Linked DNA regions of Oryzias latipes. The protein of the gene in region 6 interacts with the protein of the main gene of each other region in a pairwise test. Links are inferred from orthologs where the notes say so. Each region holds a gene or a part of one and is shown on either strand. Other genes may lie near its edges.

Region 1 (5,157 bases), on a different chromosome or scaffold from region 6:
GTTAGCGACAAAGTCAGAGAAGCCAGACTGAGATGGTTTGGACATGTTCAGAGGAGGGATAGTGGATATATTGGTAGAAGGATGTTGGAGATGGAGCTGCCTGGCAGGAGGGCAAGAGGATGGCCAAAGAGGAGATATATGGATGTCTTAACAGAGGACATGAAGTTGGCTAATGTTAGGGTAGAAGATGTTCATGATAGAGTGAGGTGGAAAACGATGATTCGCTGTGGCGACCACTGATGGGAAAAGCCGAAAGAGAAAGAAAGAATAAGCCACTAAAATCTTACCATTAGCCCAAAGAGACATATTATGTTCTTGGAATGAGTGGCCATTCATCTGCAATTTTTGAACTTCATTAAAGTTCAAAAATGTGGAAAGAGTGAAACTCTGCTGCTCTCTGCAGGAAAATCTAGGTACCTAGATATTTAGGAATCATGGTCTAACATGTGATGGTAAACATGTTAGAAAATAACAAATCACTAATACGAAATAAGAATTGGAAGAAACAAAAAAAAAATAGAAAAAAGGCACAAAAGAAACAACTCAAGGAGAAATGTATTAATGCCGGATAAAAAAATCAAACAAGTACGGGAGAGGTTTTAAAAATATGCTCATCAAGAAGTTTTTAGTGCGGCCAAAACTGCAAACCAGAGGTTTTCAAAAGACCTGAGGGCAGAACATGAAAAGTCGCAGACGGCAGCTGGATCCCAAAGCTCAAGAATCTTGAACAGAGACATTCCTGGAGGAAGAGGTTGAACATTTGAAGGAAGCTCACAAAAACCTCAGCTCCAAATCCGATGCCCAGATTTCAGCTATACCCAAAAGTAAGTGGAAATCCTATACCAAGAGCTCGAAAATCAAAGATCTCCTGCACAAGAACTTCAGTTCAAGCAGCAGATCATCAACAGCCTTAAAGAGGAGCAGGACGTTTCCCTCCACGCTGTATCCAAAGAGATCCTCCCCATGCGCGACCATTGCAGAGAGCTGTGTTTTCAGGCAGAGCTGAAAAATCAGAAGTTATTGTAAACAATTAAATTTATTAAAGTTAATTTAAATTAAACAAATTAAAAGTGTTTTAGTTCTAATTAGCAGACAGTAAAACAAAGTATGTGTGCAGCAACTTGTGCGATTGTTATTTTTAATGAGAACACCTTGCACTAAATCAAGGCATTTTCACTCTTAAAAAACTATGTGCAAAAATGCTTCCATATTTATGTCTTATGGTATATTTAATTGAAGAAGTACAGTGTTTTAGGTTCTTCATGTGTCAAAAAACATTATTTCTGCCCCCTCTGCTTCTGAAAAAAGAAATGTGTACCTTATTTGCCATGAAAAAATAACTGGAAACTGCTTCAGAAATGATTGATTACTAAGAGATGTCTCCTATAAACCTCTGCATAGAATTTATGATTGTTTTAATGGCAAGATATATTAAAGCAACTGATCCCTACTGTTTTTTCTGTAAAGAACACCCAAAAAGTATTTTTATTATTATTATTAATAATAATGATTGTTATTATTATTTTTATTAATGTAACGTACTAGGTTATTTATCATACAGTCAATACGTATGATATATGCCATCTCCTGTAACTGCGTTGATTTTGCAATTGAATAATAAAGTTAAATGGGGAAAAAAAGGTTACTTCCTGTTGGTATTATCGCGATACTACAGGCTCTCATTCGAGTACTGGAGGGATTTCTCGTTTACTTGCTGAGCAGCTGCTAGCACATTAGCAACATAACAAGAACTTATCAGTTCCCGACAGACATTTTATCGTAAATAAGCTAGTTCTGGGGTAAGTTGTTTAGTTTTTACCCGAAACTTTACAGAACCTTTTGGTACGATAAGCGAGCTAGGATCTCTTTAACCTTTGGACGTTTCCGTGTAGGTGTTTGTCTCATCATCATCATGCTACTTTAATTATCGTAACTGAAAAAACAGACAAACAAACAAAAAACTTTGAATTTTTTGATCTCGAATGTATTTTTAACATGTTTTTTTTAATATGCATTATGTTATTGTTCTCGTCGTTGAACTTGGTATGTGTTTCAATTTTAATTTATGTAAATTAAACTTTTTGTTTAAGCTTTTTATCAGTAAGTCTGGTGATTAATTGACATGTTGTTACTTTTTTGTGAATTATTTTAAGTCTTCCTGTGACAGCTGACGACTTGATCGCGTTTTTATTTATTTTTTAGTTAGATATTTGGCAAAATGGTTATAGTGTTTTGGCAACTTTTTTAAAAAGTTTTTATTAATAGATCTGCGTAATTGCAGAACAACTCCCTGGCAATACATGTCTTTAACACTCTTGGATCAAAACTGACAAACATAAGATGTATCAACTAGTTATAGCCACTTTTTAACTAACATCATGTACTACCTTAATTTGTAAATGTTTAAAGCAGTCGATTTCTTCTTTTTTATATTTTAGGATTGTTTTTCTTTTGAGTTTTTGTATAGTCTATCCATTAATCCTTTAGTACTTATGAGCAAGAACATGATCTATATGTCACATGGTGCTATAATGTGATATTTTGATGTTCTTGCTTGTGTCCTCCCAGCTCTTGTGTCTTTACTACAACACCAGTAAACCCAAAATGGACTTGGAAGATGACACAACCATTTTGAGCACCTTAAAATCTTTCAACACTTTCATCAGTCGTCCTGAGCGTCCACAGCTGCCGTCTGAGCGCTCAGCAGGCAGTGGAGTTCTTCAGAGTCAGTACAAACGCAGCATGGAGGTACAGATAAATCATTTGCTGTGAAAGCAAAATTCAGGAATTAACGACAACCATTCCATCTGACTATTTGCTTTCCCTCTGGCGCATTACTAGATTTTGGAAGCAGCAGAGAGGGTTCACTCTCAGAATCGCTTTCTGCAGTTGGACCAGGAGAAGAAACAGATGGAACTGAGCCACAAGAGAGCTCGTTTTGAGCTGGAGAAAGCGGCTTCCAACAGTGCACGAGACTTTGAGGTATAGTGCATATTCAGCCTTTTCACAGCCATATACAAATAGCATTTGATTATTTTGTGTTGTTATTTTGCAGCATGAGTTGGACAGAAACCAGGATCTTTTGGCCAGAGTTAAAAAGTTGGAAGGGAGGGAATTTGAAGCGGATAAAAACTTATCAGACCAGGTTGAGGAGAACCAAGTTCTCCGTAGGAATCTAGAGGCCGTGAACAAAAAGCTGGAGGAGCGAGACACCAAGCTGAATACGGCTAACAAGGTTCCCGCACAGACGCACACCTATCTGTCTCTTCAGGAATGTCTGTCATCTTACATTCAGTCCTTCTTGCAATCTGTTTCCAGACCATAACTTCTTTGAAAGATGAGCTCAGAGAGTTGAGGCAGAAAATTCAAAACCAAGACTTGGTGTTCTCAGCCCAAACCTTGGAAAAACAGGAGCTACAGGAACAGCTGGATCTGCAGCGCAGGTAAATCCCAACATTTATGATGGTTTTCTTCTTTTTGTTAGATTAATAAGATGTGTTATTGTGTTTTTTTTTTCAGGAAATATCAGGAAATCTCACAACTATGTCAAACTCTCCAAGCTGCCCAGTCTTTATGCTCAGAGCACATTATAAAAATAAAGGTAGCAATCACTTAAAAAATTTGTCGTAAAGATTAATATTACATTTTTCAAGTCTGGAGATGCAATAAATGCTGTTTGTTATTTTAAATCGTATCATTTGAATGAATCTAAATCAGTTTATGATGAAATGAAAGTACTGCATGCTTTGGTAGAAGGTTAAAGGAGCTTTTCTTTTTGGATTTCCCTCCGTCTGATCTTACAGGAGCTGGAGAGGCGTCTTATTCTGCAGGAACAAGACATGGCAATCGTGAAGACTATCAAGTCGGAGGCGGCGAAAGTTACAGATCTGGAAAAAGAGTTGAAGCGCCTTCGAGAAGAAAATTCTTTTCTGAGGTGGAAAAATTTATACGCTTATGATTTGTAGATGTTTAATTCATCATTTCTTTATTTTATTTTATTGTGCTCTTTTTTCTTTTCTTTTTTTGCAGATATAGCAATGTTTTATGAAAAAAAAATTAACAAAATAGACATGAGCCTGGATTACTAATGAATAATAATGAAGACAACCTCTCAACAAACAATAATTCCCCTGGGTTTTTTGGTTTGGGATTATTTCTCAGCAGGACAAAAAGATTCAGCTTTTATTTTAAGCTTGGATATCGCAGCTAAAATAACCAGTTTCTACAATGAATGCCATTCTCCTGTGGAAGTGTCAACACAATGTTTCAGTGTGAAAATGGCTGCAACAGTCACAGAAGCTAATGACAATGCTGACTGTCAATTGCCATGATAACTGATGTGAGAAAATCTAGTTTTCATTGACTGGATTTTAATAATCAGTTTTAGTTTTTTTTTTGTTTTTGTTAATATTTTCATCTAACTTTATTTTATCAGAAAATTCCACCAAATACCATTATGAAGGGAGAACAACAATCTGCTGATTTACCGCTATCATGTCTTTGTGTTTGCATGTTGCTGGGCAGATTACAGATGCTTTTCCGAATTCACTTATTTGTGGATTCTGTCAACATAGTTTCATTAATAAGTATTTTTAAAATATGTTTTTAATATTGCTAATTCACCCAAAAATATTTAAGTTAGATGTGTAAATAGAATAACATAACAAACTGGATTTTCAGCTGTTTGAATTTCTCTCTTTTAACTTCAAACTTGATTCCTTTCTGAAGATTTTTAATTATGTTAACATTTTGGTTTACTGTGGAAAACACTGCTAAGTTGCTGTGGAAGAAAAGGAGCAAAAATGTTATCCATTTATCAAATCAGTTTGATCTATAAAAAAGTTTTTTCATTCTTGAAATATCCAGTAACAGATTGATGATTGCTGAACCCTAAGCTTAGAGTGACTGTGTGGTTCTGCTGTGTTTCTATTTTGTCAGAGAGAGCAGAGAGAATTACAACCTGTTGAAAGAAGAAGCAGAAGGACTTCGTAAAAAACTGGAAAGGATGGAGAAAACCAAAGAAGAGCTCGTCAATGTGGAACTTGAAAAACAGGTGTGATATAACAACACAAATAGTGCCGATAAGGACACAACTATGCAACACAACATGCACAGTTTAGCTCAAACACAAAGTTTTGCCACCGCAAATCAAAAGTA
Region 2 (5,192 bases), on a different chromosome or scaffold from region 6:
TCAATCCAACTTCTTTACATAACTTTGTAGGGTGAGAAGGCGTAGTGGGAGGAGCCACAACAGCAGCTACAACCTTAAGCAATGCGGTTCGCATTCAGGCAGCGCCACAAGATACAAAAAGCGGAAACTCATACCTTGATTAGTAGACATGTTTACTAGCAGACCTTCAACCTGGATGTGCTGAACTTTTAAGACCCACTCCACTGAAAATAGTGTTTTTAATACGTTCTATCGGAGGTTTTCTGATGGAGGACATTACATAAATTAAGCTATTCAAACCTTGTGAATAAAGACAGGATTAAAAAAACCTGTTTCCTCGTCTGAGCTGGCATCTGGCTAAAAACTGTACCACTAGATAGCTTCAATATTGCTCAACATTTTTGTTGCACTGCTAATGTTAGCTTGGGGCTGTGAGGGACTTTAAGCTAGGGGGAGAACACGTAAACGGGGAGCTCTCAGTAATGGGGGGGGGGGGGGTTGCTCTGCATTAGCAATAGTCATATTTAAAAGACCAGTGAGAATGCTTTGAAAATAGATCAAAAGATGATCAAAGTGGGACTTTAACCACACCAGACACATTTGTGCCTGACCCCAAAAGCTACTTAGCAGGACACGTCAAATTGAACCACTTTTTCACTGTCATGCATACAGTTCATTTCCCGTCAAACTCGTCACATTCAGAACGTCTGAAGAAAATCAGATCAAATCTGAAGCTGGGGTACAAAAGGGAGACTGAATCTGACCGAGTACACTGGTTGTGTGCACACAGATTAGTGCAACAGTTAGATCTTTGCCAAGGTGAGAAAGAGATACCAGTCAAGATGCAGCACTAGGCTTACCCTACAGCATGGCATACTTTGCCGTCCACTCCTGAGCTAGTTTATTGTACCTAACAAAGTGAAATCCACGCACATGGATCAACCAAAAAAGGTGGGATCAGGGTCTTGTCACATGCAAAAGGACGGCTTTTACTCACTTCTGACCATCTGTTTTGTAGATCCGTGCAATCTCTGGCACTAATGGGTCATCGGGGTTTGGGTCACATAGGAGTGAGCAAATGGAGAGAAGAACTACAAGAGAAAAGTTTACGGAAACTCAGTTTGACATCGGAAGGCAAACTTCTTCCACAACATTAAAAGACATTAGTTAATTATTAAACGTCAAACTACAGCTTCCTACCTTTAGAAATAGTAAGTGCAGGAGACCACTGTGATCTGAGAATATCCAGACAGATACTGCCATTACTGTTAATATTTGGGTGGTAAATTCTTGTTGTGAATGCCACCTGAGGGAGAGACGCAACAAAAATCTGAGTTATGCAACGCAGATCCTGCGACAGAACAGGCTGGACCGGCAGATGATGTAAACAGGAAAAAAAAAGAATTACAGTTTCACTTTGTTCCGAAATCAAACGCTTTGTCTAAATCAAAAGGCAGCACCACATCCTGTCTTAACTCATTACTATGGAAACGCACAGAAGACACCCGTCATAGCAGCTCACCTTTGGGGGTTTGAAGGGGTAGTCTGTTGGAAAATGAATTGTCAGGAAGAAAACACCTCCCTGATATGGACTGTCACTCTGCAAGGAGAAGTTTAAACCGAGTTAAGGACTGACAGATCCAAGCATAAACATTTGCCGTTATATGAAGAAAGTGAGACCCCCCCCCCCACCACCATAACATGACGGGAAGGTCAAAATGTACTCACAGGTCCCATGATGGTAGCCTGCCAGTGAAACACTGCAAGGACAAAAATGAAGCATTATAAAGAAGCTTACAGGTCACTGTGACTGTCACAGCCTGCCAGGAACGCTGTTTCCTGTTCACGGCATCCACTAACATATGTGGTTTTCAGATTTACATCAGTGTGTTCGGATCACTTACTGTCATCTCCCACCGGGCCAGCAGAGCACTGAGCTGGGGGGTCACGAGCCAGGTCATTCAGTTCCTGTCAGGAGAGGAGCTTCAGTCAGTCATGAAGATACTAGAGTCTGACGAACGTCAACATCTCCAAACACCGAGTATGTGAGGAACAACGTCCTCCCTGGTTAAGGTTACCCCCATACCCCCTCCCCCGGACGGGCCCGCACAGCCCAGTTTTTATATCCACAGCAAACATACAGCCCGTCCATATAATGTTTATTTTTAGGTGACCGTCTATTTTGGAGCGGATGAGCCGGGCCCCACCCCGGCCTTTCCTCATAGAGGCTTCCAGACACCGGCAAGTTGCGGGCGGCCTGCCGGTTTCCGGGGCTGCCCGGTTCCCATCCGGGCCGGAGTTAACTCAGCCGGGCGCGCACACGCGCGACGAGGCTAATCGTGACGTGGGCCCTGGCCGGCTTGGTCAGGTGTGAATCACGGAGAACCGAACGCAAAAACAACGACCGAGACCGGTCGGCCCTGACAGACGTCAGCCCCAACAGAGAGGTTAGGTCGAAAATCGAAACTGCTAATGATTTAATGATAGCTGGCTGGCTGGCGAGCTGCGCGTCAGCCGGTTGTAACACATTTCTGACACACAAGTATCTGGACTGAAAACTATAACCGCCATCAAGCCGAGCAGAGCTCCACACCTGAACCTCGAAGCGACACTTCCTCGTTAGCCTTGACGGAGAATAGTTAGGGAGGCTAGCATGGAAAGCTAACACCGTTAGCACGCAGTTCCGCCGTTCTCTTACCTTGTGGATCCTTTTAAGGGCCATCCTCCCTCCGTGTTTGGGGTTTTCGTATTGTTGATACAGAAAGTGAGCACAAAGGCGGGCTGTGATGTTCCAGGATGACCGCTTCGATTAGATAATTCACGCTGGCTCAGCTCCACGGCCTGTCTGCTTAAGCTAGCTGATATGATAGCAGGTTAAAACTACGTATGCGGCCAAGACTTCACGAAAACTGGCTACGTTCCTCAGGAACTCCTTTCTTTTGGTTCGGTTCTGAAATATCCGTGTCCCCTCGGGAATTGACTAATTGCGAACGCCAGGTGGATAACCCCGGCCTGATATAATTGCCCCTCTTCAGGTTTCGGTCGATGCTGTTAGCTAACTAGCCGCTGTCCACATACAGATGAAGCTTTATGCCGTGAGGGCGGAGCCAGAATCCTGTGAGGGCGGAGTCAGTCAGTGGGAATGCGCCGTCATCCTGCTGTGAGGGCGTGGTCAGTTCGCCATGAGCGTGAATGAGAAAGCAGAATGAGAAATTATTGTCAACAATTTTATAACTTCCTGTTCATCCCTGCAGTTTTTTACACAAGACTTTTCTCACCTTTGTGTACAGAAATATAGAGTTTAAAATTTATATTTTTAGTGATTTATTGTTAACTATGTAGTTTCTAAAAGCAGCTGTTAAATAAAACTGATTATTAATAAATTAATTCCATTATTTTAACTGGATGACACTATAATCAGAACATCAAATTTTAAAATAAAGGGGCGGAGTCAAAATGGTTACGTCCTTCCTTATTGTAATGAGGATTGTGTGCTTCAGTGTGTTGTTTCATTTTGTGACTTTTCATCCGTTTGTCCCAGACAAATGCTCACCTGCATAAGTTCTCATTACTTCTTCAGGTCTTGCTTTTTTTATATTAGTTCCACTTGTAAATTTTCCTAGAAGTCCTAAATACACTTGGAAGATGAATTCTTACTTTTTCAGCTAAACTCCATGTCAGGAATGACATTCCAGAGTTTACTCTGAAAATATTCTTGAGCGTGAAAACTGTCACCTCTTTTGCTTTAGCAACATATTTCCAGATTAGTTGGGTAGAAACATTTGAACTTTGAAACATGCAGAGTAGAAAATGTCATTCTTTACTGTCCATTTCTGATCAGTTTACACATCATTCTCTTCTAAATATGAGCATCCAATTACAAAAGAGTCACCTATTTGGCTATAATTTTCTTCTGTGACACTACAAATTCAGATCTTTTCTATGGTTGTTTTTTATGGCTTTACCTCTTTCGTCTTCTAGATTTTTTCCATCCTGATTGTCATGTTCAACTTTTTTTCACCATGGATGTTTCAGAAATTGAAATGTGATTCAATAAACCTGGAAAGCTGAGTAGAGGAGGAGCATATGTGGGAAATCAGTCATTCAATTCCTTCAGATCTGTGCTGAAAAATACAAAAAATGTTGATGTGTTCAGATGCAGACCTAGATAATTTTATCTTTACTCTTTCTCTAATATCTTGGTCGTATATCTTTCAATTTCTGCTAGAAAAATTCACCTGCAGCCACTGTGTGTTATGTTTTAATAGGTTAAAAAAATAAACTTGTGGAAAAACATGAATAGTAGGTATGCTGTGTGGCACGTCAAATTAATTACCAAACACTCTATGTAAAATGACGTTGCTTTAAAATATGTTGTTTGTATAAAAAAGCAAATAAATGGCAATGATCTCCAACCGTCTTTATAGAACCCAGCATGGAGAGCATAAAAGCTCCTATCAAACAGTCTTTGAGACCAGACACCCATCTGGAAACATCTCCAGCATGTCCCAAATGAATTTGCTTGAAATTTGAATGTTTGTGTTTCTCGCAGCCGGTGGTGACGCAGAGACAAACAGGAACTGGCAGTTCCAGGAAACCGTAGCCAGTATTTCTGTCCTCAACTGTTTGTTGTTGGACTGAACGTCAAACTAAACTTCATCAAGCTTCTCTCCAGACATTTAGGCAGAAGCCCAGCTGGAGACTCAAGTAAAACAAAAATAAAGGCCCACAACAGAAAGAAAAGACTTTAATTTCACCTACCTTTTAACTTCTGGGTTGTTTCTGGTGCCAAACACAGCTGAGAAGGTCTGTAAAACCACACAGGATGTTTCTGAAATGATGTTTAAGGTTCTGTTGGTTTCCACCTGCAGCTCTGTTCAACTAGTTAACAAGCCAGGAGGCACACCAGATGATAAAAAATGACGTAAACATCGGGTTTTATCAGTTTTCACTGCATTTTAAGAACATTGCTAAATACAATTTCTACTGCATCATAAGAAAATTGTCAAACAAACAGAAAAATGTCACATTAATGGTGTGACGGAGGCTCCAAACCCCCAAACGTTATACTGTAGATCCAGACAGCTCCTCAGCATCAAATATGAAGAAAAGGTGAGTTTAAAAAGTCAATTTCAAGTATACGTCTTCTGAAAACAGCAAATTCTGCTTCATGTTTCAGGATTTTATTCTTTATTTACAGCTGCGAAACCAGC
Region 3 (3,336 bases), on a different chromosome or scaffold from region 6:
TTCGACACTTTACGTCTCGCCATTTTTGCTGAACCAGTAATGTTAGACTGGGGTTGTGAGGGGCTGTAAGCTAGTGGGGGAGCACGTAAACAGATGGGGGATGGAACATGGAGGCGGGCTTGCTTCTTGCCAATGGTCCCGCCCACAACTCAGTCAAATTTCTGATGATTACCTGCCGCTCTGCAGAAACTACGTCCTAGAAAACCACACAGGTTTGTGACTTTGGCTAAAAATTGCATCATCAGATTTAAAAGACCACTGGGAACACTTTTTACACAAGATGATCAGAGTGGGACTTTAAGAAGAGAAAACAGACTTCCTGCCAATGGCAGCACTACAAATAAGTGAACACATGACAGACACCCAGATAAACTGCACGAAAAGCAATGACATGGATGCAAAGCATCAACGGGGAAAGCAACAAAGTTTCTTACTTCTGGATTTTTCAAGTCTAGTTTGGTTTCCAGTAGAAGAACTCTGCCCATCAGGTTTTCCCAGCTCTCTCGAGGTATTGTGATAACTTCTTTGTCCCCCTGTAATTCAGCCATGTGCAAGATGGCCCAAACTAAACATGAGGTTAAATGTACAGTTCGTCATTTTCTTTTCAATTTAGTCAATACTAGTTTACCTTGTCGGTGCTTTTCCAGTTTTCAAGTTCCTCCAGACGTTTCTCCAGAATGTCCAGCTTGTTGAACCGAGATAAAATCTGATTCACTTGAACCTCCAACGCTGAGAGTCTGCTCTCCATCCCCGATAACTGAATGACATGAATACTATAAATACTAGTAATTGATAAAGACATGTACAATCTAGAGTTTGATGCTTAGTCCACTGATATTTAAATCAAATCTGTTTTTTTTTTTAAATAGCACTTTTCATATCTGATAACAAAAAGTGCTGTACACTAGAATAAACAATAAGAAAAAAGTTAGTTTATTCAAAAAAATAGATCCCCTCTCCATTACACAATATCTCCACACCCCTACAACCCTTCATCTCATGGTGATCAACATTGCCAAATAAATAAATGAACAAACGAACGAAAGAAAGACAGCAAAAAGTCAAGTTAAAGAGATGGGTCTTAGGCCTACATCCAAAGTGGGGGACTCCAGGTAAAAAGCGCCGGTGTGACAGCATGTCCTCCAGATATCCTACCTCTAAATACCTGGATCAGGTGTGTCCAGCCAAAAGGAACATGCCAGGTATGTGGAATTCAGCCCTTTGGTCTGCATGCTTTCATGGTGTAAAGCCAAACAGCATTGCTGTCAGTAATGCTGGTAAATGGAAATGGCTTCGGCCCTGTCAGCTTAATGTGTAAACAAAGATGGGGAGTTCATGTTTTATCCAGTAGATAAACCAAGCCAGGAAATCCTGTTTGGAAACGAAGACAGGAATAAAAGCGTCTTCCTTCCTATGATGCTTCCACAGCCGTCAACATAAGAACCGGGTGGGAAACCCTGGAGCTTTCATAAGATGGGATAAAGGTCACCGCATAATCAGTCTGTGGACAGAAGTACGACAACATTGGAAAGCTGTGTCTGATCAGTGGAAACGAGGAGGACACGCCCCCAACCAGCGCTATTGAAAAAAAAATCTTAATCTAAATCTAAAATGTAGCTTTGAACCGAACTTAAAACAGCGACCTCTTCTTTACTCAAGATACTGAAGTTGGTCCATGACATCATCTCCAGCATAGCTTAGCCCATTTGTTCATTCACAGGCGTTTCAGCACCCATCAGCTTTGGAACACTTCAGAGTCTTGCTATTAGCTTTAATTTGGTTCAAAAATCATGTTTTAATCTAAAATCTAACCCAGCAGGCTTTTGTTAAAAGATGCATAAATACATTTAGCTACTTTGCTGCAACACATGAAATTGACTTCTTGTAGATTTGACATCTGTCAGTTCTAGCTGAAGTTCAGGGAATAAAAACATCTGCTCTCTCCAGTACTAGAAAAACAGCTTATCGACAACAATAAAAGTGTGAATGGTGACAGCTAAAACTTCCACGGAGTATTCTACTTTTTTGCCTTTCAACTGCTCTGGGGTCCCCACATCTCATCTAACCTTTTCCTTCACACAAACCCCTCTGTTGTTCTCCTCCTCTTCATCCATGAACCTCCTCTGGTTGGTCTTCATCTAGGCCTCTTTTCTGGTAGCTCCAACCTCCGAATCGTTTTATAAACATTGTCACGGTACATTCCTGTCATGTGTCCAAACTATCTCAATCTGGCTTCTCTGCATTCATCTCCAAAACTTCTACTAGAAGCTGTTTTAGCATCACCTGTTGAATTAAAGGTTAAACCAACAATGGGTTTCAAGCACAGCTGTGACTGAAGGTCACGCTACCTCAAGCAGTTCAGACCATTGACTGTGAATGAGAACTGGACTGAGGGTCCCCTCCCCCCTCACGGTCCAAACAGGAAGTACCCGCTGGCTCCAAGAGGCTAATTTCCCTATAGAGAAACAAACAGCTATTCCTCCATTGGTCAGAAGACATTTTTCTCTGAGAGCCTTTTTAACATCTTGCTAATCCTGTGGGGCCTCTGAACCATATAGATACAGAAAAGATGACCTAGACCAACTCAAACTGACACTGAATCTGGAAAACAATGTTTGTTATGGATGAGATCCCCTTTATTTTTAGGAAATACTTACACAAACAGTGCCATCACTGGGCTCCTCTGCTATTGGTACATTTGTGATCTCATTTGTAGAAGAAATGAAGGAATCCACGTCAGCATGAGGAGGACAGGACGGAAACTCTTCTGCACTGGAGGCGATTGCAGTGATAGAGGACGGAGTTTTAGCCAGATTTACAATAAACGGCTCCCTGAAGATCTAAAAAAAAAAAAAAAATGTTGATCTTTTGTTTTAATTTTGACATCATCATTTGGAATTTTCAAAAGGTAGGGAAGAGTTGCTTTAACATACAATCAAGTATTTTAAGACTTTTTTGCCAAAGTGAAAAAATACTACTGCAAATGCTAAGTTGCATATAACCTTTAAGAACAGCACTTATTAATTGTTCGTGTCAGTTGACTTTGCCTTACACTGGGAGGATCAGGGTTTACTGTATGACCTTCCACTCCAACATCACTGTGTGAGACAGGGCGTCTGACTTTGGGCTGCAAAAGACACACAAGGAGATTAAAAGTCCTTTAAACTTGCATGACAGTTGTGTTTTTAACATGTTAGTGCAGCATTTTCTGATGATGGAGGACGTGTATGAAGAAAAAAAGCTTAAATTAGCATTTTCTGAGTATTTCTTCAGGAACAGACAAAAAAATGCTGTTGGCAAAAGCTTGTAGTTGTTACAAAGAAACTACAATCAGTG
Region 4 (5,044 bases), on a different chromosome or scaffold from region 6:
TTAAAAAAGACCTTAAAAGGAAGGAAGAGAAATAAAAAAGAAGAAGGATCCGGACAGACAGACAGTCCTTTAATGACGGCCCTACAGATACACATTACAGGATCGACCCACAAATCCACCTGCGCTGCTCCCTGAGGCCTCTGAATACACAGGAAGGTAGAGCCCCGTTTTTAAATCTGAATGACTATTTGCAGTCAACAGCGTCAAACCACACAACCCTGTCCCTGGAATACGTTCATTCATAGCAACCACTACTTCCTGCCCCCCCTGCTTTGGCCCTGTACAGCGATCCGTCTGGTTAATGCCCTCTCCTAAATGAGCTTTGATCTCGTTAGCGCGACACAAAGCCGCTTTACTGCCAACGATAGGACAAATCGGCTCTACGAATCAGGGAGAGCGCTGCGCAGAGGGTTGACACTGTACTCCCGCCACATCCGAGTGGACCGGGGCACTGCCCCGAGGAGACGCATCAATACAGCCTATTGGGGGGGGTTAAAAAAAATAATAGAAATAATGGGCGGAAATAAAGATGAAATTAAAGCATGAGAGGAGAGCCATGCGGAGGAGAGGGGGCACAGATTTGAGCAGAGGGAGGCGGACGGAAAAATGAGGAGAGAATGAAAGATGGGGGGGGGGGGGGGGGTTGCTGATACAAAAAGGGGTGGAGAGGTGGGGGTGCTTCGTGCAAAACCACGAGTCAATTAGCAATCTGGAAATACGCCTGGGGGGTGAGATGGGGGACAAATCAGAGGACATGTGAGAGTGGAAGCAAGGATGAAAAATAAAGGGGGGGGGGGTGCTGTTTGTGTGAGATGGGAGAGCGTAACAAAGAGAAGAGGCGGCTCTCATTTATCATTACTGTGCTGATTTACAGTCAGTCTGGAAGGTCAGGAGCGTGCCCGCTCCCTCAGTGGGAGTCCACCCCCCCACCCCCCAGGACTTATCCAACCTTCAGCTTGAGTGGAACTCCAGAGCCAGATTTACCGTCTTAAAGCCTCAATGTCGTTTTCTTTTATGCGTAAAGTGTTAGTGAGCCTTTCATCTCCTGACTGTCTCACCCAGCACATCTCCTCTCTAAGCGCCATCCGTCACTTTCCTTTCATCCAACATCCTGACAGATGCTAACAGCTCCCGTTTCTACCCCTCTCCCTGCATCATCCACCCTTTATTCACCCCCTAAAAAACACCTACCCTCTCCTGTTTCTACCCTTTTTTGCTCCGGCAATCCATCTACGTCTACATTCGAGCCACTTTTGATGCCATGCATCGCTCTGCACTCTTAACCTTTAATTCACTTCTCTCTCATCCTGAGTTAATCCACCGATCACTCATCCTCGCCTACCTTTCATTTACCAGTTTACCCATCCTCCATGGCTGCAGCTGGCGTAACTCGTGTGCCATCCCATAAAAAGTGCACAGCGATCGATTTGATCGCATCATCTGCGCCGTCCTCTGAACCTTTCAGCTTTACAGCACTCCTCTGTCTTTGCAAGCAGGTCCTTCCTTCTTTTTTTTTTTTTTTAAACCAATTCCCCTGGACTCCTGCCATGCTCACCTGCCCTTCAACCACTCTCTGCGCTCTTATCGCTGGGCTAAAACACCAGACGCTAGCTGAATTTTTTCATGGTACGAGTAGATTTAGAGGCCCTTCAAAGCATATGCGTGTAGGCGTATGAATTATGTTTGTGGGTGAATGCCATGGAGTGGAAGAAATAGCAACAGATCCTGGAAGGACAAGTAAGAGTGTCTAAGCAGCCCCGTGGTGTACTGTATTACAGTAGACCGGTTCCAGAGGGGGACCGGCTGCTGATGCTTTGCTGCCTCAGCTGTCGAGTCATGAAAGCAGGGAAGACCGGTGTACAGAAAGCCCCCACCCCCCACCCCCCCTGTTCCTTCAGCCTCCAGCAGAAAGGCTCTGTTCTTTGTCTTTCTCTGCGGTGACCCCTCCCCCAATCCCTGTCTGCCTCTCTTTTAACACCTAGCCACAAGGAAAAGGGATGGGGGGGGGGGGGGGCATGGAGCAATTAATGGCACATGCCATGTGTGGAACAATTTGGGGTGGCTCTGTAAAAATGATCTCCAGCGGGTTCTTCCATAGAAATGTGCAAAAGCTGGCATCATTTGACACACAGCACTGGTTTATTTGTGTGAGACAGGCGAGATGAGCAGCTCTGATCTTTACTGCTGCTGCTGCTGCTGCCTGTTACAGCCATGGAGCCTGGATCATATTACCTTTGTCTGGGCTGGTCATGCTCCCTCAAAGCACCACGATCAGGGGATCGTTTCAAATGATCAATCAAACATTTTTCTTCCTAATTGCATTCATTTCTGTTGCTAAGACGGCGCTACTTTGTTGTTAATGGGCTTTTAAAAAAAATCGGAGACAGAGAATGCTTATTTGTTTGTGTGGCAAACAAAAAGCTGTGGATAAAACAAACAAGAGTATGACTAATGGGTCCCTAATGTTTACATTGCATTCCTACCTGTCCGATGTCTCCCACCACGCTCCCGGTGCCGTCTATCCTTGGTCTTTTGCACTCCGCTCCGGCCAGGTCGGTGAGGGCAGCGGCTGTCTGAGCGTCAGGCTCGGGGTCCCCCCGCTTCATCCCGCGGACAGCCGCCGGACCCCCGGCTGCGTTGGCGTGAGGCGCCGCGGCTGCTGTCTCAATGTCTCTTTCGCGGTCCATTATTCCCCGGTTAACGGGTAGCATTAGGGATGCAACGTCGGTCGACATTAACATTGGACGGCGGACACTCTCGCGTCTTTGTTCTGCTCACCTTTCCTCGAGCTTTTCACACCTCGGCGTTCAGCTTTTTGACAATATTGACCAGACTAACATCAATACTCGGGAACCTTGTCCTGTTTCTTGTGTAAGTTCGCGTTAGCTATGCGCGGCACACCATCATGAAGGTGTCAGGGTCCCGTCTCAACAGCAACCAAACGCCTGCGGTTCATATAAAAAGTCGAATCGACGCCAAACTACGACCTTTTTTTTCATAAAAATCCCACGTCCGAGCCTGTCGAGCTAATTAGCTAGCCAACGTATGCTAGCCTGCTAGCATTACATTCCGCTAGCTCTCCTTTTAAATGAGGCTGTGGGAGCAGAGACTCTGCCAAGAATAGAAAATGTTGGAAATGAGCTGAGCGTAATACTACTCCTCCAGCGCAGCCGCTCCTCTTTCCGCTCTCCGGTGTGGCTGTTCTGGCGTTAAACTTCTGCGTGGCTCCTTCCAGGCGTTTTCCTCCCGCTTGTCCGTTCCCTGTTCGAGGTCTGTGGATGAGTTTTGGCGAGCCGACCTGGCGAGCACGATTTCCTCTGGTCTCAGTCACAACTCCGTAGTGTGGCGGGAGTCCTGTTGCGCTGATCCGCGGTCAGATTTCACCAAGGAGACGCTGATTGGAGATGCGGGGTGTGAAGGGAGGCGGGCTGGTCTGGGGTCTGCTGTCGGTCTCCTATCCCCCCACCCATCAACCATCGCCTCCTTTCTCCTCTGTCCTCACTTCATTATTAATACGCAACGGTTTTTATTACTTTTTGTGTGTGTGTGTTTCGTTTTTGTGGTAAAACAGTATTTCAAAATAATTTTAAAATTATAAAAATATATAAACATGTTTTTTTATTTATATGTATTATTTATTTATAACAAAAACATTTTTTATCTAACGGGATTTGAACCTCCCATTTGACTAATAGGTTTAAAATTTAAAAACAAAGCTATGTATTTCACCACGGAGTTTGTATTTAATATATTTGTTCATGAAAATTCATTTCAGCGTCATTTTTTATTATTTTTTTGTAAAACTCATCTCATTCCTACTCTATACCTTGATTTATATTTTAGCATTTTTGAGTAATGTAGTTAATTATAAGCTTTCTAACCTTGAGCATCTTTTTACAAATTCAAGCAAAAAGAAAACAAATTATGCTAAATTTTGCTGTTTGTAGTTCTGATTTTTATAGACACATTAGAGCCGTTTTGTTGTGCTTTTGCGCCCCCTGGCGGATCACAAACCGCAGCGAACACAAACAGAAGCAATAACATCCTCCTCTGCTGAGGTCATCCTAGGACATTTTATAATCAAAAGCTTGAGCCAGAAATAGCAAATCATTTGTCATTTCTTAACAAGTGTAAAAAAAAGTGTTTCCCTTTAGTACTTCCCTTCATGACCTGATAGAGTAGAGACACATGTTTGGGTTGTAAAAGCTGATCGGATTTAAGATTTACAAATATTTTATGAGCTCAGACCAACAGTCCATTTGTGCGTGAGTGTCTGATAGAAAGTGCAGTGAATGAACACCCTTTTCACCCAGTGTCAGTGATTCACTCCATAAACTGTTTTGACTTTACCTCCATGGACTCTTCAATTGTCAACTGAACCTGCAATAATGAATTGCAAGGGGGGTCAGAGCACGCCGCCCGCTGCCTGTCTCAACACGGCAAGAGCAGGAAAAAATTACTCTTTGTAGTGGTAAATTGCCCTTTGAAGAGACCTCTAAAGGGATTTAAAATCCTTTCCGACTTGTCGTAAAGCTCATGTATTTCTTTGAGGGGAGTCGCTTCAGCTTTAAGACATGCTGATGATGACCTTGTTGATTTTAAATAGCCGTGGCTTTTGTGTGCACTTCAAATACATGTTTTGCCACCAACTCTGGAAATGCCGTCCCCTGGAACCATGCCATCAACAAGCACATCGTACAAGTATGCAAATTTAAAGTTTCGGTTTGAGTTTAAATGTGAAATTGATCATTATAATTTTATAATTTTGAAATACAAATTCAAACTTGATTTTTTTCGATTTCAAATTAGTGTCACAGTCTTCAGTTCTGTTTTGTTCTACCTGTTTTTGTGTGTAGGTTGGCTGTGGGTTCTGGCTCCACCTCTTCTCCTGTGGCTGTCCTTGATTGGCACACAGCTGTCTGCACCTTAGGCTCATTTGCCTGAGCTCTATTTAACTGTGTCCAATTTTGCTCTCTGTGTCGGAGTGTTGCTTGAGTTTGGGCTGTTTGTCCTGGTTCCTTCATGGAGTCATGCTAGTCTCAAG
Region 5 (4,931 bases), on a different chromosome or scaffold from region 6:
GATGCATTCCGTCTTCCTTTATCATGGTATATTTTTCTGTCTCCTGTCCATGAGACCCTGTGTACACAAGGCACAAAGGTGGGGAATGCTCCTGCGTACACGTCTGTGTCACATGACGTAAAATCCCACTGACAGGATGCCAGAAGAATACAGTCATGAGGTTTTTAAACAGGTTGCAGATCTGCAGGACACGCCTCAGAGCTGCGTTTGCTCAGATAAAGGTGGAAGCCGGGCGGCTCTCGTACAGGTTTGACCGTGTGAATCCTGAAAACAGGAAATGCGGCCTTCCCAAAGCAAACTTCTGTTCGTACGAGCACCTCAGAGGTTTCAATTATGGCGGATTTGCTGGGTTATACGACTATGTGGAAGTAACTCAATACACTAAAATCCCTGCGAAGCAGCAATAAAACCACAAAGTTAAGACTTTAAGAAATGACCCTGCATCATCATAAAAGAAACAAAGACAGACGCAGCAACTAGACTTGCTCTTATCAATATGAAACCGGTTTCTAAAAACAAGACTAATCTAAAAAGGAAATCAATAACAAGCGAGGGTGTAGCATACTTTCTGGCAGATAAAGCTTGGGTGACATTTGTCAGGTTTGACAAAACTGCTCAGCAGTTATTGTATGCTAAAGTGCCCCCCCACCCCCCAAGCCGCAAAGAGTCTTGTTGGCAGGTACTTTTAATATTCCTAACAACTTCCAGCACTGCTGCCAGCATCATTCAGCACCTGACCTTAGAGCAGATCTGCAGAGGGGTTTATTGCAGCAAGACATTGACCGCAATGCACAACCCAATGACAAGCCCAGAAGAGAAAACTACTGTGCATTTTCAATATTCAAATATGTATGAAAAACAACATGTGCCCTTAATAACTATGCCCTTTCAATAAAAAAATCTAGGATTGTGGTGTTGTTTTACAGGCAAAAATTATTCTGTTTAACCAACCCTGGTTTATTTTTAAGGACCCACTCAGATGATGTTTTTGGTGTTTTTAGCATGTTCTTGTAGCCTCTCTCATACGTTGGAGGACACATGTGTTAGGAAAGTTAAGTTTAAAATTGCATTACTGAACATCTATTCAAATTGTTGTGAATGCGGAGAGGATGCAAAAATGCGGTTTAAAAAAAGCCTGTAGATTTGATGTAGACCACAAGCTCCCCGCTCTGCTCCATTCTGATGCATCCACTTGCAGACAATTAGATCCAGATATGTCTTTGTTTTCCACGTCTGAGCTGGCATCTGGCTCCAAACTGTGCGACTGGATAGCTCCTATATTACTTGCCATTTTTGTTTCACCGCCAATGTTAGGTTGGGGGTTTTTGCTTGCAGGAAAGTGTGTAAACAAATGGATGACGGGAAGGGAGGGTGGACTTACTCTGCTTCAACAGTCTCGCCCACAACTCAGAGGTAAATTAACTACTGCTGTTCCGCAAAACTTTTTTAAATTTAGGCTAAAAACAGCATAATCATACGTAAAAATCCGCTGGGAGCACTTTAAAAATAGATCAAAAGATGATCGAAGTGAGACTTTTAAGTAAATGCACATTACAAATAAAAATATTGTAGTTAAAAATCTGTCTTCTCTGGGATTTGCAAAAATTGTTAATGTAAAGTGCCAGCATGAGAATGGTGGCATGGAAAAAGAAGGGAAAAAAAAGGAGGGATGGGTTGATTAAGATTAGTGTTTTAAAGAAAAAGAAAAAAGTCATTACATCCATCAAAAGCCAAAAATTAAAAATTAAAAGCCGCAAATGGTGTACTTCAGAGGATTATGAGAGAAGGTGGGACTTCCACCAAAAAAATCAAAAGATAAAAAATCTGCTGAAGGCTAAATGTCTTACGCAATAAAGCAGATTCTGTCACTTTCTGACGCCATGGGAATGGAACTACAGACCTCCGCCGCAGTCACACCTGAAGAAGGGGACGACTCCTTCCGCTTAGCTCATCACATTTGGTGACTGGCCCGTTTTGCTTTGCTTTTTTAATGTATTTTAAAGCTTAAGCTAGTCAGCTGGGTTCTAAGCCATGTGTCTGGGTTGGCACATTCTTTTTGGTGGCACACTTCCCGAAAACATGAAGGCTGAGTCACGTTATATATTAATGTCAACGGAAAAAAAGGAGAGGAAAAACGGGGGGAAATGTCGCAGATGGATTTTTAACTGCTTTAACACCCCGATAAGTCAAACACGACTCAATCAATGCTAGGCTACTGTTAGCATAAATTCTGGATGACTTAGTTAGGTGGGTCGAGCTCTAGACTTAAATGTGACCAAGCATTTATCACGCCAGGAATGAAACTACGTTTCCCATGTGTCCTCTCTAATCAATAAAAAGGTTTAAACGCACTCGCGGACGCGCTGGCTGTCAAAACAAACTAGCCTGTAAATCTCAAATGCCTCAACTGTGTGCGCATAAACATGTAGGAGATTGAACCGCAGGCCACAAACACATCCCGGTTGAACACTATCCCCTGTTCCCGGGACAGGAAACGTTTTGCAAGTTAGCAATGTTAGCTAGTTTTTGTTAGCAAGCTATCGTTCAGAAATCAATTTTATTGATGAAATATAAAACAATACTTACGGTGCATTTTCTACCAAGGTAGTTGAAAAGGCAGTCGTTTTCCTGACTGGTCAGGAGAATTGAACCCGCATTAATGGGCCGCCGTGGCTGTGAAAGTCCACTCATCGTGAGAGATCAATTGATTAACTAAGTATGCACTGAGTTTACTCGTTAAATACGAGACCCCAAAAGACACATAAACAATTCCTCTCGGTCATGGGTGGCCTTCGTCCTCCGGACCCCTCGCACCGGTTGGGATTGGTCCTGCGTTTCCGCAAAGCGACGTTGCCAAAGATGGTTGCTGGTTAGGAATGTAAAGCAAAGTCCCGTAGCTCCTCCAAATAAGATCAAATTGGGAACAACCGAGAGAAGGCGGAACACTGCAGAAACTTTCTTGGGCAGTCAAGCCGTCAGAGAGCCCTAAACCAGCTCCATCCAACATGGCAGTTAGGACGACTCCATTGTTCTTGAAAAGGGGGGAACGTTCACCTAACGCGTCCCAAATAGACCTTGAAAAATATTTTAAACATAAAAATAATACTTAAAACAATTATTTAAAGATCTATAGCGTATACATTTATTTCAATGGGAATTCCATTTATTATTTATTGCCAAAGAAATCTATTGTTTTTGCTTGTTATCCGTAAAGATGGTACAATCCAATCTGCCCCTGGCTTTTATGACAGGAATGTGAGTACTGGGAATGGGAGGCAGTAAGGAATAAGGTTCAGTCAGCAAAGATAAGATTTTTTTTTCCGTATGAGCAGCTACTGGATTAGGGATTATCAGGAAACTAATCCCACATTTTAAATGAACTCTTTGGGATTTAATAGGCATTCGCTAAGAACCAAAAAGGTTACCATTTTCTTTTAAAGATAACAAAACTCCTAAAAGTCATAGGTCAAGTTAGGTTTTAGATTCATTTCTAAAAGGTTATTAACATTCATTTAAAATAGAAGACCTTCCTGAACTGTGCCACACAGCTAGACTGAACTGGTAAATAAAGCAAGGGAAAATTAAATGCGCTCCATTTCTTTAACATCACCTAAGGGTTCAAGCTGACATGTGCGCAAAAATAACTTAATATTTTTAGTAAGGCTCTTTTTTATTTATTATTTTCTGAACAGTTTTCTATTTTACAAATCAAAGCATACTCTGGGCATAAGAAATTAAAGTGAAGATGTGATAAGAAACAACAAATATTTGTCAGATATGTAGTAAAAAATTAGAAAATAAAAAAAAAAGATGATTACTTAAGCAGATAATTGGGTGCAGCAAAACGTGGATTTGAACAATAGCTCTCCTGCCTGCCTGGCGTACTACATTTTTTTCAAGCTCAATCGCTTTAGGGAGATTACCCCCACTTTGCCATATGCTCAGTCAAACAGGTTGTTCTACTAACACAAATAAATTCTTCTGTTTTGTGTCACACTTTACCACGCGTCGATCCTTTTATCACAGAAATTCTAATTAAAGATAGCTTGAAAAAGTAGAAATAGCTATTATTAGCTCAAATAAGTTTATGTAACCACCACCTCAAAGTCACACTTCTTGATGTGTTTCTTTCTATGTAAGAATATGTAGGAGTATGTTGAAAAACTAGCTCATTTGAAATCCTTTTAGTACTGATTTGCAGGCTTTTATCATTTGACGTAAGCACAGGCTCCTCATTTGCCTATTTTGATAAAGCTCAAGCAAAAAAAAGGTAATTTTTCAAACCCTTCTTTATTTAAATCAATTTTCTTAAAAGCTCACAAAATTAGAATAAAAAAATGCAAAACACCTGATTATTTGTCACGAAATCTTATTAAAACTGGCAGTCATTTTTGTAAAACTTCTAACTATGAAACTGCTTTCTGCGTGTCTGCTCCTGTCTGCAGTGTTACACAATGGCGCGGTTATATTCCAGCTGAAACTGCACGATGACTTTGTCTCACTCTTAAGTTCTGGGTGGGACGGAGTGAGAGCACGTCTGTTTGCAGCTCCTGCCTGTGTATATGTATACAAGTACACGTGGTTGTCTGTGTGTGCACAGCAGCAGAGGTCATCCAGATTGTACACGGTGCTCAGGCAGATTCACAGTGTCTTAAATTACAACCAGCTTTGCAATCCTATTTGTATGAATTCATAAACATGGTTCATTTTTCTGAATACAGGATTCATTTTTCTGTTCCTAATTTAAAGGCAACCTCTCACCGAGTTTTTAGGAAATTTTTGCTTCTGCATATTCTGACTACAGTTTTTCAATTCTGCCTTCTGACTCGTGCTCAAACCTTTCTCTGCTCTTGTCGAGCTTGAAAAACCAGAGAGTCAGAAGAAGAAACACCTGAGGAAACGCTGCATGGCTCCGCCCACCTTCATTTTTG
Region 6 (5,067 bases):
TTTAAGAAAAAATCGTATAAATCGTCTTTTTTGCTTAGCTTTTAATTAACTCTTACATTTCCTAGTGTTTTCATTTGATTTTTATGGACTGTTTTTGTGTATTGCATAATGCGTATGTGTATTGGGGGCTTTCCTAATCACTATTTTTATTTTATGTAAAGCACTCTTAAGGTGTTTTACAACAGGAAAAATGCTCTATTTATTAATTAAATATGATGATTGTCAAATATATTTTTGATCAATTGCTTGAAAGGAAGTCGGGAGAATCAAACTTATATGATAATGATTCCTCCTCTATTACATCTTACATTGTTATATAATCTTCTGTCCTCTGAAAAAGCTGCTGTGGAGCTCTAATAACAAGTTTGTCCTGATCTTTTATTTCATTCAGATTCAGTTGCATTTATCTCCTGTATCTAGAAATATGTTGATAGACTGTGTTCATCTGAATCTGCCTTTTTTATTTATTTATGTTTTTGCAGTGACTTCAGCTCAACATGATGCTTGTGTTGGTGCGTCATCATTTTTCTTTCCCAAAACCGTTTGCAGGTACAGTCAGAACATTCTGTTGCTGCGGGAGCAGGTGGATGACACCCAGAGACGGGTAGCATCTCTGGAGGGAGAAGATCAGCAGGGTGACCCGCTGGTCCGGGAGCGGGTCCAGGAGCTGCAGAGTCAGCTGGGGACTCTCCGAGGCAAAATGCACCAGATGGAGACCTTAAAGAAGTCCTTCAGTGAACGGAGGTGGCCAGAGGTGAGGGTGGCTTCAGTCTGTTTTACAAGCAGGATGTGAAGTGAGTTTTGTGGGGATAAAGAAGCATTTTTGTGTGTGTGTTTAGCATCAGAAAACACAGCAGGAAGAGCAAATGAGAAAGCAGTTGAACGATGCCTTGCAAGAAGTAAGAAAATAAAGGAGTTTTCTTTCCGTAGACGGACAGCATTTATGAGATTATGAAGTGACATTATTGAGGATAAGTATTGTTTTTATCTATTCTCAGCAAAAGAAAGTGATCGTTGAACACGCCCTCTCTCGACAAGCCTTCGAAAAGATTCTCTCAGCCAAAAACAAAGAGCTGGAAGCCACGAAGGTCTGTTCAAAATCCTTAGTTTTATTCATCTTCTGCCCCTGAATGCCACAATAAATCACAATATATATAATTAATAATAATCACAATAAATCCTCAGGAGGAAAAGGAAAGGGCCCGTGCCCAGAAAGATGAAGTGGTTACACAAATGACTGAAGTTCTGGAGAACGAGCTTCAGTGCATCATCTGCTCAGAACTCTTCATCGAGGTGGGCTCTTATCAGATTAGCTTCACCTGCAAATGAGAACCACCGACCGTTAGAGTGACATTTTTTGGATCGTCTTATGGTCGTCTTCTGCAGGCAGTCACCCTGAACTGCGCTCACAGCTTCTGCTCCTACTGCATCACCCAGTGGCGCAAAAAGAAAGAAGAGTGTCCCATCTGCCGACAGGCCATCACGTCCCAAAGCCGCTGCCTGGCCCTGGACAACTTCATCGAGCGCATGATGGAGAACCTGAGCCTGGACGTCAAGGAGAAGAGGCAAAGCGTCATCAACGAGAGGAAAGGTGAGAGGTGCGTTTGTGATGCTCGACTGGACCGAAAAGCTTTCGAGTGTTAACCCAGAGCTGTTAAAAGACTTTTATTTTTGCTGTCTTCAGGTGAGCAGGTCTGTGAAAGCAGTGTCCAATCAGGTAAGTGGGGAAATTGGACTGATCTTTCAATGTCACATGATCAGGAGAGGAATTTGTGCGTTTCGTTCAGATTTTTGCACAAGAGGTTCGTTAGTGCTGTTAAGTGATAAATGCGCGCTCCTCGCACGGATCCTGACTGTTAGAAATGAGGAAATTAAACCGTCAGAGCGTAGTTTGTGTGGACATCTAACGGGCACTTGTGTATCATATGCACATCTCATCCGTGCAACATTTGCACACGCTCAGTAAGGAGCCAGTCCTCGATCCTTGCTAACAGCTCAGCCCCGCAATTCTGGAACTCCCTCCCCTCTGATCTACAAAATATGGACCATCTCTCTGTTTTCCAAACATCTCAAAACTCACCTTTTTGCCTTGGATTCATAATATTTAAACTGCTGATTTAACTGTTAACTTATTTTGTGTTTTGTGGCGTTTTGTTGTTATATTTTTATGATTTTACATAATTTTGTACTGTGAGGCGACCTTGAGTGTCTAGAAAGGCACCATATAAATAAAATGTATTATTATTACTAAGGACTACAGTAGGGGACAGCAACCTTTATGACGAGAAAAGCCAATTTGAAATATCCTCTTCAACAACTGTGCCATCACCAAGTGGAAAAGTGACAGTACTGATATAGGTGGGCGGGGTCACAGTAACAGCGTTGTGTGAATGGAGCCTTTCCTTATGACGCCATGAAGGAAAATAGCTCATCGTGAGAAGAGATTTGGTCAAATCCTAAAAATACAAGTGTTCATCTTACACTACATTATTCCCACAAAACACTTACCACAAGCACGACATTGGTACGTTCCATTTTCATGACGTCTCTTGAGGGGACCCTATGAGTTTTAAGGGAACTACAACCCACACCTGTACCCCCCCCTTAAGAGGCAGCCACGCCTCTCTACGACCCCCCACGGGCCCAGACAACCCAAAGACCTGCAGCACCCGTACGGGTCATGTGACTTAGGCTTTGATCATCTTTTCATCTAGTTTCAAAGAATTCCTATTGGTCTTTAATCATGACGGTCATTTTTAGCCAAATAAAAAAATAAATCTGTTGTTTTCATTAGAAATTAGAGATGTGGGAGGGACCATCAGCGCAGAGTAACCCCGCCCGCACTTTCATCTGTTAACACACTCTCCTGGTACCTTGCAGCAATATCGGAGCTACCCAGCCGTACAGTTTAGAACCAATGCCAGCTCAAAATTGATTTTCTTAGTGTATGTCCTCCCTCATGAGAAAAATGCCTCAATAACATGTTAAAAACACTACAAACATGATTTTCACCGGAGTGCATCCCAGGTAGAAACTCAAATGTATTGATCTATTCAGATGTGTTAAAGAGCACAAGTTCCTGAAACAACTTGGAAATCATTCCCTTCATTCTGTCACGAGTGGACTATCTCCTGGTTTTAGGGTTTAATGTCTAAAAATATCAACTTTTGTGACTAGAGTCCATTCAGTGACCCTTTGCTCAAAAGCAGCAGAAAGTGCTGAAGGGTCCAAACCTCAGGGAATGCTGGGAAGCTGCTGGGAGGCTTTCTAATAACATGTCATGGTGTCACCAGAGGGGATCTGCCGAGAGACCCTCCGTTACACAAGATGACAATACAATATGTTTCATCTTCTGTTCTGTTAGCCGGGCGTATTAGTGCTGCGTATGTCAGTGGAGTTTCTCCAGGAAGAAAGGGCGGCTCACTCTGCGTTTCTGTTTTCCAGCCGCCAACGCCGCAGAGGTGATGGTGATCCACGATGACGACAGCAGCAGCGACGGCAGCAGCAGCAGCACCGTCGAGAGCGATGGAAGCATGCTGTCCATTTTTAGCAGCCTCAGCTCTGTGTTCACTGTGGACACAGAAAGCAGCGACCATTTAGAGTTTGAGATCTCAGATGACCTTGAAGATTAACTCTCAATCGGAAGGCAAAAAACGGACTCGCAAAGCCCTCCAACAAGAAAAGCCCTCGGGATCTTTAGTTTACACTAAGAACACTTTGGTCTCATCATGAGGAAAACTTCCTTATGTTTTCTTTTTGTAAAGTTATTATTTGTGTAGTGTACTTGTTTTTCAGTGAAAAGATTAAAGTTTCTTCCTGATTACTTTTACCATTATCTTTACAAGTTTTCAACTCTTTCATGTTGCTTTTTTCTACGTGTTCTGGGTTGATATTTAAAATCTTCGCTTCGATTAGTAGCTTAAAGTATTCAAACACACAGACTTTGTGATTTTTCTACTAGAAATGTTCCCAACTAACAGACACAGCATGGGCGTATGGAGTGGTTTTTGTGCCATTATTCCAACTGTAACTTTCACATTTTTTAGCGTAAAACTTAAAAAAAATTGTGCTAAAAAAAAAATATTTCGCACTTGAAACAGAAAAACGAACTAGAAACTCAAAAATATGGGGGGGGGACAATTCTCAATCCAGAGCACCGTCTGACATACGTGCCACAAAAGCCAGCCAATCACAGACATCACCCTTTCACGCCCATGTCTGTGATTGGCTGGCTTTTGTGGCACATTTGGAACATAGTTTAAAGTTTCAAGTGTATTTTTCTGTTTCAATTGCAAACTATTGTTTTGAGCACACAAAACTTTTAAATTTTATGATCAAAACAGTGGCTGTTGCGCTCACAATAATGGCATTATAATCCCTCCATATGGGCATGTTTTTAATTCCACTTAATGCTTTCATTTTAACTTTAAACATAGCTTAAAAACACAGTTTTTATATTTTAGTCCTTTAACAAGATCTTTAATTTATATTTATTTTATTATAATCAAGCTGGTTCCGTTTCTAGGCTTAAAAAGTAAATAAAGAAAAAAAACATATATATATATATATTAAAGTGGTGCATTTCTGAATTTAGAAAAGTAGATTTTATTGCCAGAATGGTGGGGGGGGGGACTCATATTTTAAACCCCACTATTTACGCTAAAGTAGATTTTTCAGAACAGTTCTTGATACGAAAATGGTTAATTTTTTATGTATTCTAGCAGAAAAAATAAATCAAATTTTAAAGTTACAAAATGATACACAAACGTGAGTCCACTCACTGATTTGAGCGCACAAAGACGGCCGTCACCGTGTGAGTTTGCCTCTTGATGTCATGCCCTGCCATTAAAGCTGCAGTGCTGGGGAGGCCGTTCCTGCCCCCCCTGATATCCCATGGAGGACAGTGATGGACTGCCTCAAGGCTACAGTTGGAGCCCTTCATTACTCCGTCTGACCCAGCATCAGTTCTGCATGCGCTCATGATGCCAATAACAGGCTCAACTGCTGTGCCTGAATATGAGAAATACACATGATGCATCCTGCATTCACCTCATTTCTCTCCGCTTT

The links.
Region 1: the proteins of rnf8 (region 6) and mad1l1 interact in binary tests that used the Homo sapiens proteins (3 or more experiments, as listed by UniProt). The two-hybrid records come from large-scale screens. The link is inferred for Oryzias latipes from reciprocal best matches to the Homo sapiens genes RNF8 and MAD1L1.
Region 2: the proteins of rnf8 (region 6) and ubiquitin-conjugating enzyme E2 D2 interact in binary tests that used the Homo sapiens proteins (3 or more experiments, as listed by UniProt). The link is inferred for Oryzias latipes from reciprocal best matches to the Homo sapiens genes RNF8 and UBE2D2.
Region 3: the proteins of rnf8 (region 6) and cep44 interact in binary tests that used the Homo sapiens proteins (3 or more experiments, as listed by UniProt). The two-hybrid records come from large-scale screens. The link is inferred for Oryzias latipes from reciprocal best matches to the Homo sapiens genes RNF8 and CEP44.
Region 4: the proteins of rnf8 (region 6) and RNA binding protein fox-1 homolog 2 interact in binary tests that used the Homo sapiens proteins (3 or more experiments, as listed by UniProt). The two-hybrid records come from large-scale screens. The link is inferred for Oryzias latipes from reciprocal best matches to the Homo sapiens genes RNF8 and RBFOX2.
Region 5: the proteins of rnf8 (region 6) and wasl interact in binary tests that used the Homo sapiens proteins (3 or more experiments, as listed by UniProt). The two-hybrid records come from large-scale screens. The link is inferred for Oryzias latipes from reciprocal best matches to the Homo sapiens genes RNF8 and WASL.

Annotation. Positions count from the first base shown.
Region 1 is NC_019859.2:22,955,128-22,960,284, forward strand, and holds the start of mad1l1 (mitotic spindle assembly checkpoint protein MAD1), read left to right. Parts: upstream 1-1,672; 5' UTR 1,673-1,799; intron 1,800-2,568; 5' UTR 2,569-2,604; coding exon 2,605-2,748; intron 2,749-2,841; coding exon 2,842-2,982; intron 2,983-3,055; coding exon 3,056-3,235; intron 3,236-3,318; coding exon 3,319-3,443; intron 3,444-3,519; coding exon 3,520-3,601; intron 3,602-3,803; coding exon 3,804-3,934; intron 3,935-4,938; coding exon 4,939-5,053; intron 5,054-5,157. UniProt on the Homo sapiens protein: Component of the spindle-assembly checkpoint that prevents the onset of anaphase until all chromosomes are properly aligned at the metaphase plate.
Region 2 is NC_019880.2:25,335,066-25,340,257, reverse strand, and holds the start of ubiquitin-conjugating enzyme E2 D2, read right to left. Parts: upstream 3,092-5,192; 5' UTR 2,702-3,091; coding exon 2,678-2,701; intron 1,948-2,677; coding exon 1,884-1,947; intron 1,740-1,883; coding exon 1,708-1,739; intron 1,580-1,707; coding exon 1,502-1,579; intron 1,286-1,501; coding exon 1,180-1,285; intron 1,071-1,179; coding exon 977-1,070; intron 890-976; coding exon 841-889; 3' UTR 840-840; intron 1-839.
Region 3 is NC_019859.2:27,430,569-27,433,904, forward strand, and holds part of cep44 (centrosomal protein of 44 kDa), read right to left. Parts: intron 3,128-3,336; coding exon 3,053-3,127; intron 2,841-3,052; coding exon 2,658-2,840; intron 758-2,657; coding exon 629-757; intron 566-628; exon of another isoform or gene 534-565; coding exon 435-533; intron 1-434. UniProt on the Homo sapiens protein: Centriole-enriched microtubule-binding protein involved in centriole biogenesis. In collaboration with CEP295 and POC1B, is required for the centriole-to-centrosome conversion by ensuring the formation of bona fide centriole wall.
Region 4 is NC_019866.2:20,451,739-20,456,782, forward strand, and holds the start of RNA binding protein fox-1 homolog 2, read right to left. Parts: upstream 3,430-5,044; 5' UTR 2,742-3,429; coding exon 2,484-2,741; intron 1-2,483. UniProt on the Homo sapiens protein: RNA-binding protein that regulates alternative splicing events by binding to 5'-UGCAUGU-3' elements. Prevents binding of U2AF2 to the 3'-splice site.
Region 5 is NC_019881.2:13,541,959-13,546,889, reverse strand, and holds the start of wasl (neural Wiskott-Aldrich syndrome protein), read right to left. Parts: upstream 3,022-4,931; 5' UTR 2,692-3,021; coding exon 2,587-2,691; intron 1-2,586. UniProt on the Homo sapiens protein: Regulates actin polymerization by stimulating the actin-nucleating activity of the Arp2/3 complex. Involved in various processes, such as mitosis and cytokinesis, via its role in the regulation of actin polymerization.
Region 6 is NC_019882.2:5,925,633-5,930,699, reverse strand, and holds the end of rnf8 (E3 ubiquitin-protein ligase RNF8), read left to right. Parts: intron 1-549; coding exon 550-754; intron 755-839; coding exon 840-899; intron 900-998; coding exon 999-1,088; intron 1,089-1,185; coding exon 1,186-1,293; intron 1,294-1,386; coding exon 1,387-1,591; coding exon of another isoform or gene 1,592-1,598; intron 1,599-1,684; coding exon 1,685-1,717; intron 1,718-3,444; coding exon 3,445-3,632; 3' UTR 3,633-3,835; downstream 3,836-5,067. UniProt on the Homo sapiens protein: E3 ubiquitin-protein ligase that plays a key role in DNA damage signaling via 2 distinct roles: by mediating the 'Lys-63'-linked ubiquitination of histones H2A and H2AX and promoting the recruitment of DNA repair proteins at double-strand breaks (DSBs) sites, and by catalyzing 'Lys-48'-linked ubiquitination to remove target proteins from DNA damage sites.